Linked DNA regions of Kluyveromyces lactis. The main gene of each other region encodes a partner of the protein of the gene in region 3 in a complex. Links are inferred from orthologs where the notes say so. Each region holds a gene or a part of one and is shown on either strand. Other genes may lie near its edges. The genes, in order: KTI11, DPH1 and CBR1.

What was found.
Region 1: CBR1 (region 3) and KTI11 share a complex: the UniProt entries of both Saccharomyces cerevisiae proteins name them as parts of the 2-(3-amino-3-carboxypropyl)histidine synthase complex. The link is inferred for Kluyveromyces lactis from reciprocal best matches to the Saccharomyces cerevisiae genes CBR1 and KTI11.
Region 2: CBR1 (region 3) and DPH1 share a complex: the UniProt entries of both Saccharomyces cerevisiae proteins name them as parts of the 2-(3-amino-3-carboxypropyl)histidine synthase complex. The link is inferred for Kluyveromyces lactis from reciprocal best matches to the Saccharomyces cerevisiae genes CBR1 and DPH1.

The regions. Positions count from the first base shown.
Region 1 is NC_006041.1:1,816,908-1,819,057, reverse strand, and holds KTI11 (Kti11p), read left to right. Parts: upstream 1-1,368; coding exon 1,369-1,617; downstream 1,618-2,150. Other genes in the region: RPS8A (40S ribosomal protein eS8), read right to left, coding at 1-80; KLLA0_E20417g (uncharacterized protein), read left to right, coding at 2,076-2,150. UniProt on the Saccharomyces cerevisiae protein: Required for the first step of diphthamide biosynthesis, a post-translational modification of histidine which occurs in elongation factor 2.
Region 2 is NC_006042.1:372,999-376,360, forward strand, and holds DPH1 (2-(3-amino-3-carboxypropyl)histidine synthase), read left to right. Parts: upstream 1-1,591; coding exon 1,592-2,860; downstream 2,861-3,362. Other genes in the region: Hsp90 cochaperone SHQ1, read right to left, coding at 1-1,248; Golgi transport complex subunit COG6, read right to left, coding at 2,917-3,362. UniProt on the Saccharomyces cerevisiae protein: Catalyzes the first step of diphthamide biosynthesis, a post-translational modification of histidine which occurs in elongation factor 2.
Region 3 is NC_006042.1:2,559,385-2,562,238, reverse strand, and holds CBR1 (cytochrome-b5 reductase), read left to right. Parts: upstream 1-1,338; coding exon 1,339-2,184; downstream 2,185-2,854. Other genes in the region: JHD1 ([Histone H3]-lysine-36 demethylase), read left to right, coding at 1-1,026; HOM3 (aspartate kinase), read right to left, coding at 2,493-2,854. UniProt on the Saccharomyces cerevisiae protein: NADH-dependent reductase for KTI11/DPH3 and cytochrome b5. Required for the first step of diphthamide biosynthesis, a post-translational modification of histidine which occurs in elongation factor 2.

The DNA.
Region 1 (2,150 bases), on a different chromosome or scaffold from region 3:
AACTTTCTCTTCTTTCTGAATTGAGCACGTTTAGCACCGGTAGCAGCTCTTTTGTGACGAGAATCACGAGAAATACCCATTTTGCTTTACTGTAGATAAAAGCTTTAGTAAAAGATGTTAGTAAATTTTTCTTTCGTTTGATTGCCGTTAATTAGCTTTTGCTTGTACTTTCACAGAGTAGTTATATAAGATAACTTCAGATGCCACCAACGATGTTTTCTCTTTGAGTTAATTACTTCACAAATAATTTCGCCTTCTTGGTTGTATACTATCCCGTACTTCCCACCTTCGATATTAGAAAGCCGCTTCTTTACTCGTATGAATCTCCTCAGTTCGCTAGTTTTTTGCTACACCATAACGGACTTCCCACTGATTATTCCTTGGTAACTGTCATTCACCCTCAGTGATCTAAAACATTTTCTAATTCATTCCATCAATTCAAAACTCTTTCAAATATATCTAAACATGTAATCGCACTGTTCTCTCATTGTATTGCATCCGCTGGTTACTCCACAAAGCACAATAGTACCCACGTATAAAACATACTATTTGACCTGGCTTCTTGACCTCTTCTTGTATTTCAAGAACTATCCAATACAATAACTATAGAAGGTAACAGTATATAACAGTATACAACAATTTTGTAACTTTTCACTAGATGGAAATCAAAGTTGTTCTTTCGACAAAATGGACCACACTGCCGAGTATTGGACTGCCAGAGGGAACCAGCTCGCCCAGAGAAAGGGACAGAGAAAGCGTGAGAATGGCCAAAGGTGAGCTGGAGGAGAGACTCCTGGGGAAAGATTCTGCCTAGGTGGTAGATGGAATGTTGCTCTCTGGGCAGACGGGCAGGGATATCGACGGCAGCCAGAAACTGAATGAGTGGTGTGGGCCAGAGCATTCTGAGGCCAGAGGGGGTTTACACCGGTAGTGAGTGGCTTGGGACGGCCTGGCTAACCATTATGGTATTTGTCTGTTTTAAAAATACTTATTACCTTTTTAGGTATTAGTGAAAATAAATGAAATTGAATTATGTATGGGTGTAAAATATATGTCTGGGTTGTGATAGTCCCGAAATATCACGTGACTTCTTCAAAAGAACCAGTCCTTCTTTTCCCGGTTTTCTCAACAAGTTAAAAAGAAAAACTGAAACTTTTGACATGAAATGACAATTGAGTCAATCATTACGCTCATCGCATTATGTTTAATACCTATGTCTTCATACCCAGTGCATTCAATATTCTCTAACCTAAGGGTACGGAATTGGAATAAACTTTTGGTCAACCTGGTGCTGGCATATTGAAGAGAGAAGTGACTACTAGAAGTTAACTTAAAGAGAAAGAATTAATTATTAATAGTATTAGAACAATGTCCACTTACGATGAGGTTGAGATTGAGGATATGACTTTCGACCCAGATACACAGATATTTACGTATCCTTGTCCCTGTGGTGACAGGTTCCAAATTTCCATTGATGATATGTATGACGGAGAAGACATTGCAGTTTGTCCCAGTTGTTCGTTGATGATCCAGGTGGTTTTCGACAAGGAAGACTTGGTGGAATATTATGTGGAAGCAAATCTGGAACCACCGGGTAAAATTGCTGTAGCTGTGTAAAATATTTTTGCAGCATCACCCTCGTCATTTATCTGCATTAGTTTTGCATGGTTATACAGAGTGTGTTCTTTTAGTTTGTTTATGGTTTTCTCACCACTCTTCAAGCACCGCACTGTATATAATTTCATTCTAGGGATGATTTATCAATCCTCTGGCAAGCTCCACTATCACACTTCCATCCGCACTGGACAGTCATTAAATTCAGTTCTTACCACATCATGCATATCGTTCACAAGTCCGTACTATATACCCCGGATCGTATATATGTTCTCTGTTTTAAGCATTTTCTGTATTATCTATTGTTTCTCGTATTAAACTAAATTTCATTTAAAAAAAGCGTCAATTAAAAGAATTAGAACGGAGTTTACACAGACTTCCGCTACCATGACCCTTAACACAAGGATGCTTACCACTTCAAGCCTTTCTGGATAAATTCATACTGCTGTAACTCTTTTACCATGGCGGAAGAATTGTTAAATAAACACGATCCGAAGTTGGCATATGTGGTGAAATATAATCATGATTCACCAAAC
Region 2 (3,362 bases), about 2.2 Mb from region 3:
GTTTCCCTGAGAAATGAACCATGCGCAAAGATCATCCAACAGAATTTTATTGTAAACGTAGTAGACATCATGGTATCGGAATAGTTCATGGATATCCAATAACGCTTTTATTACCAAACGTTTCCCTCCAAGTAACAGCTTGATAGCCAACTGCCATGCTTTGATACAGAGGTCATAGTTACGATGCAACGGATAGCTGAGAGCTCTTCTAATACCTGTTACTATGGTACCTTTGATTTGAGAGAAATGTATTAAAGACTCGGATAGAAGAATCTGTTGGTCCAACATTGAGATCTGTGGGGTCAATTTACCGATTGTCCATTGGCTTTCAGTTGTATGTTGTCCCTCATTTTCGATCTGCTCAAAAGTGTAAGAATATAATATTGATAATATCGTTAGATATTGGCTTTTAACGTCATTTATTAAGTACTTCTTTTTAGGAATGTGGTCTTGCATCTGAGTCTGTTCCGCTTCGGTGAACTCCACAGGAAAAGATACATTTCTTTCCTTCGATTCATTGTCTGACCTTTCGAACCACTGCTGATACCTTTCGCAAAGAGGAGGAAGGTACCCAAGCAATCTTTTTATGCCATTAATCTGGATTTCCTCTTCATCGCCCTGTTTTATGGTTATATATTCAGCAGCATAGTACTCTGGATCAAATTTCAAATTTTCCTTCTTCAATCTTTCCTTGACTCTGTTCTCGGGAGAAGTATGTTCAGGATCATCCAATTCGTTAATGTCATTGCCATTTGCAACGGACATAACAATATATCCTGTATAAAGATTATCGAAACCGTATTTCGTTGTTGGTGTATTATCTACTTGAACCTCTTGTTTGATTTCCCAATCAAAATGCTCTCCTTCTTCTCGAATATCAGCAATTGATTCTTTCTCATTACTAATTTCTTGAATCAACGGCCCATCTGTCACTTTAGGTTCATTCTTTGCTGCCAATAATTTGCTAGCGAGATCTAAGTCCTTGAACTCTTTACCTTTAACTGCCTTCAGAATCTTACAATTGATGCTCTCTTGTTTGGAATCATATTCCACTGTATTTAAAGTTTCATCCTCCACCAATTCATCTGATAATCTCAACCTCAAATAATACGGCGACAAATGGAAGATAAACATACAACCATCTATTACAACCTCTACACCAGCACTGTTAAACCTTATGCTTGACACCTTAATTTGTACATAAATGTATTCATCATCCTGAGTGACAGTAAATCTTGGAGTTATCATTAGGAACACTATACCGGTAAAATACGAAACTCCGGTACCAAGTTACTTCTTGTATAGTTTCTGAAATTAATGGGTGGTCAAATTAGCAATTCAGATAGTTATGTTTATAGCAACTAAAAAGGACATATAATCCCATCTCAGTGGCACATACCTTGACCTTTTAGAATTACAGTCATCAGAAATTACTTAGACGATTACAGAAAAGAAAGAAAAATTTCCAACTTTGGATATTTGAAAAGAATTACCAACAGATGAGATGAGATGAGTCGGTTTAGGTTTTACTGTTCCAGACACCATTTAACTGCAAGTGTTGTGCTCCAATTGCTAAATAGCGCCTTTTGTGATGACTATGGGTGAAGTTGAGAAAAAGCCTAGAAGAAGGTTTGTTGGTATCAAAAAAGCTGCAGAAGAAAGTGATCCCTCGGGATCAACCACTGAGCTAGTGAAGAAAATCAAGCCTAAGACTAACATTCGTCATGCTATTAATCAGATACCGCCGGAGCTTTTAAATGACGAAGAGTTAAATGCTGCTATCAAGCTTCTTCCCTCGAACTATAACTTTGAAATACATAAAACTGTATGGAACATTAGAAAGCACAAAGCAAAGCGTGTTGCTATTCAAATGCCTGAAGGGTTGCTCATATACTCTTTGGTGATAAGTGATATTTTGGAGCAGTTCTGTCAGTGTGAGATTGTGGTTATGGGCGATGTTTCTTATGGTGCATGCTGTATTGATGACTATACAGCAAGATCGTTGGATTGTGATTTCATTGTCCATTATGCACATTCCTGCTTAGTTCCGATCGATATTACTACTATCAAGGTACTTTACATCTTTGTCACTATCAATATTGATGAGACACATCTAATAAAGACGTTACAGAAGAACTTCCCAAGAGGTTCACGGATTGCTGCATTCGGAACAATTCAGTTTAATCCAACTATCCATAGTATGAAGGACAAATTGTTGCAGTCGGAGGAACACATGTTATATATCATCCCCCCTCAGATCAAACCACTTTCGAAGGGTGAAGTTCTTGGGTGTACTTCTGAAAGACTAAACAAGGAACAAATAGATGCGATGGTTTATGTTGGGGATGGTAGGTTTCATTTAGAATCGGCCATGATTCATAACCCTGAAATTCCTGCTTTCAGATATGATCCCTATAATAGAAGATTCACCAGAGAACGTTACGATCAGAAGCAATTGGTAGAGGTAAGAGCATCTGCCATTGATAAAGCTCGCAGTTCGAAGAAAGTTGGTTTGATACTTGGCGCGTTAGGTAGACAAGGTAATCTAGCAACAGTTGAAAATCTCGAAACTAAGCTCAAGGCTTCCGGAAGGACTGTAGTAAAGATTATTCTCAGCGAGATTTTCCCACAAAAGCTTGCAATGTTTGATGATATCGATGCCTTTGTTCAAGTTGCCTGCCCAAGGTTGTCCATTGATTGGGGGTATGCTTTCAATAAACCATTACTAACACCGTACGAAACTAACGTGATGCTTGAAAACGACCGGATGTTCAATGAGAAATATTACCCGATGGATTATTATCATATTAACGGATATGGTAGAGGTAAGGTCCCAAACCATGACGACGTAACTATCTAAGTAAATGCATTAATTATATCGAATTACAATCTGGGACATCACATTTGTTTATTTAATTATTTATCTTCAACACCTAGTAGGGTGGAAACTTCGTTAGTCGTAAAGTTTAATGTCGACATTATCATTTCTTCGTCTTCCGGATATATTTTGTTCAAAACGCTTTTGAACACTTTATAGAATTTGATAAAATTTCCGAAACAGGTGGACACAATGTCCTCTTCAACCGCTGGTGGCATCAAATTGAATAATTTTACATCTTGAAAATCAGAAACTGCTAATGGAAGATAGGTGTTCAATTTTTCGTGGATATTGTCGTGAATAACTGCTAATTTCATGATTGGGTTCTCAACCGCCGAAAGATACATGTCGTAATCAAGCTCATCTTGCACAGAAATAATTGGGAAAATCATGTTGAAGAGATTAAAGTACAATTCCATACCCGTTGATTCGAACAGATAGCTATTCATTGTTTCCTTTAACTTGGTAACGCATAATGTATACT
Region 3 (2,854 bases):
AAGGCGATCAGCTCGTCAGAATTGGAATCTGATTTCCAAATCATTAAAGTACCATTAAGAGTATCCGATCCTGCCGATAGTGGTATGTATGTGATTTCAGCTAATGAACTAGGTCTTGTCGATTCGAAAGATCATGTTAAACTTAACGTGGAATATCTAACAAAAATCATGGGGGATGATTATCCATTAGACGTTATGGATGTTCAGACTCAAATGAATGAGAAATGGACACTTTCTCAATGGAACGAGTACTATTCTCATACTAGCCCTTCCGATAGAGATCGTATTAGAAATGTTATATCCCTGGAGGTAAGCCATGTAGAAAGTTTCAAAGATGGGATACGACGTCCCAATGCTGTGAATAATAACGATTTGGTTGATATAGTTTGGAATTTTGGACGTACAGAGACCGACATCGAACGGCCGAAAGTTACCAAATACATATTAATGTCCGTGGGTAACGCATATACAGACTTTCATTTGGATTTTGCTGGAACTAGTGTCTATTATAATGTAATCTCGGGATCAAAGAAGTTCATCTTATTCCCACCGACAGATTACAACTTGAAGAAATACAGAGAATGGTGTGACAACGATAATCAGAATGACATTTTCTTAGGAGATCAGCTAGAAGCAGGTATCGCAATGGAATTGACCGAGGGTAATTTATTCATGATTCCGTGTGGATACATTCATGCCGTGTATACGCCTGAGGACTCGTTTATCGTTGGAGGTAATTTCCTAACATTAAGAGACATAACTACCCAACTAAATGTGGTAGAAATTGAACATCAGACAAAAGTTCCAAAAAAATTTACTTTCCCGCAATTTGAATCGGTTATGGGAAAGACATGTGAATGGCTATTGAACTCTGATCATATTCAATCGATATCATCGGAAGATATTGAGAACTTGGTCAAATACCTCTCGTCATCTAACATCAAATATAAACCAATCAATTATCAGAGCAAAAAAGAACTAATAACGGAGCTAAAGAATAAAATAATAAAATTTGAACACACTTAATCCTCAATATCTTAAGTACTATTATGCAGGGAAGCTAGCGCAGGTTACTGCACTCTATTCTGTCCATCCCATCATTCTTTCCTAAGTAGTTTTTTAGCCTTACCCTCTCTTTAGTGTGGTTTAAATGTTTCCTTTCTGAATGAAGGCCAACATGGAAAATAAGATTTTTTTTGGATGTGAGGATTCAATCTGATGAGCAAGGTACGATAGCATTGATCATTGGGCAATAAACGCTCTTATATTGTACCAGTTGTTATATTTGAAAAGATATAGTGTATACTTTAAAATAAGACGGTTAGCCTAACCTCAAATATGGTTCCTGGGAAGTTCATTTTCACTGCGACCTTTGTGTTACTGTGCACTATCATTGCCGTTGTTTTGGAATACCAATCAAAGAAGGATAAGCCAGTGCTAGATAAGGAGAAGTTACAGGAATTTCCATTGGTGGCAAAGACAGTGTTGACTCATAATACTGCTATTTACAGATTTGGTTTACCAAAGTCTACACAGGTATTAGGGCTTCCAATTGGTCAACATATTTCTGTTCAAGCAAACATCAATGGCAAGGATATTTTAAGGTCTTATACACCAACTTCGTTGGACTCGGACGCCGTCGGTCACTTTGAACTTTTAATTAAGTCCTACGAAAAGGGTAACATTTCAAAGCATTTTGCACAGCTCAACATTGGTGACAAAATTAAGGTACGTGGCCCAAAGGGTTTCTACCATTACCAACCTAACATGAATGAAGAAATCGGTATGATCGCTGGTGGTACTGGTATTGCTCCAATGTATCAAATTATGAAATCAATTTTTGCCAACGATTCCGATAAAACCAAGGTATCTTTAGTCTATGGTAATCAAACTGAGGAGGATATCCTTTTGAAGAAGGAATTGGACGCATTTGTTGAAAGAAAACCAGATCAATTCAAGGTTTATTACTTGTTAGATAAGGCTCCAGAAGCTTGGACTGGTGGTGTTGGGTATATCACCGTTGATACTATGAAAGAACGTCTTCCAGCTCCAGCTGAAGGCGTCCAACTTTTGGTGTGCGGTCCGCCTCCTATGGTTTCATCTATTAAGAGAAATGCTGTCACTTTAGGTTACGAGAAAGCTAAACCTATTTCTAAGATGGGAGACCAAATCTTTGTATTTTAAGACAATCAGAATACATATCGCTGGTTCAGTATTATGATGTAAGTAAAATCTTTATCCAACCTGTAAATTCATTATAAAAGACGGGAGAATGTCGGTAATTTTTTTTTTCTATATTGTATCATTACTTAAAAGACTCTAGCTCCGGCACCTATATCATCCAAACGTACTGTTAAGAGCCTATTAAACTATGTTAAAGAACATCTTTGTGCAAAAATGCCTATCACAAGAACATCATAAACTACTTCTTTCTATGGAAAATAGTTTCCTTTCTTTATTTTTTTCGGTCTATTGATTGATCTAATCAACATCTATAAAGACATTTGCTTGATTTGTTCCAACCTTTCATTCACTGCTGATTCAAAATTTTCATTCTGCGGAGAATCTAATAATTTTGCATGAATAGACTGAAGAGCTCTCACTGCATTGCTCTCATCAATGACACAAGAGATATTAATTTCATTAGCACCTTGAGAAATCATTTCAATATTAATATGTTGTTCAGCTAAGGTTGTAAACATAGTACCAGCAATACCAACAAATTGCTTCATCTGCTTACCGACCAGAGAGACAATTGCCATTTTCTTAATAACATCGACTGTACCTAGTCTCTTTAACTCTTCAACAGCACACCGTAAAGCCTTTAGGGAATCTGAATCAGGTACAGGAAGGG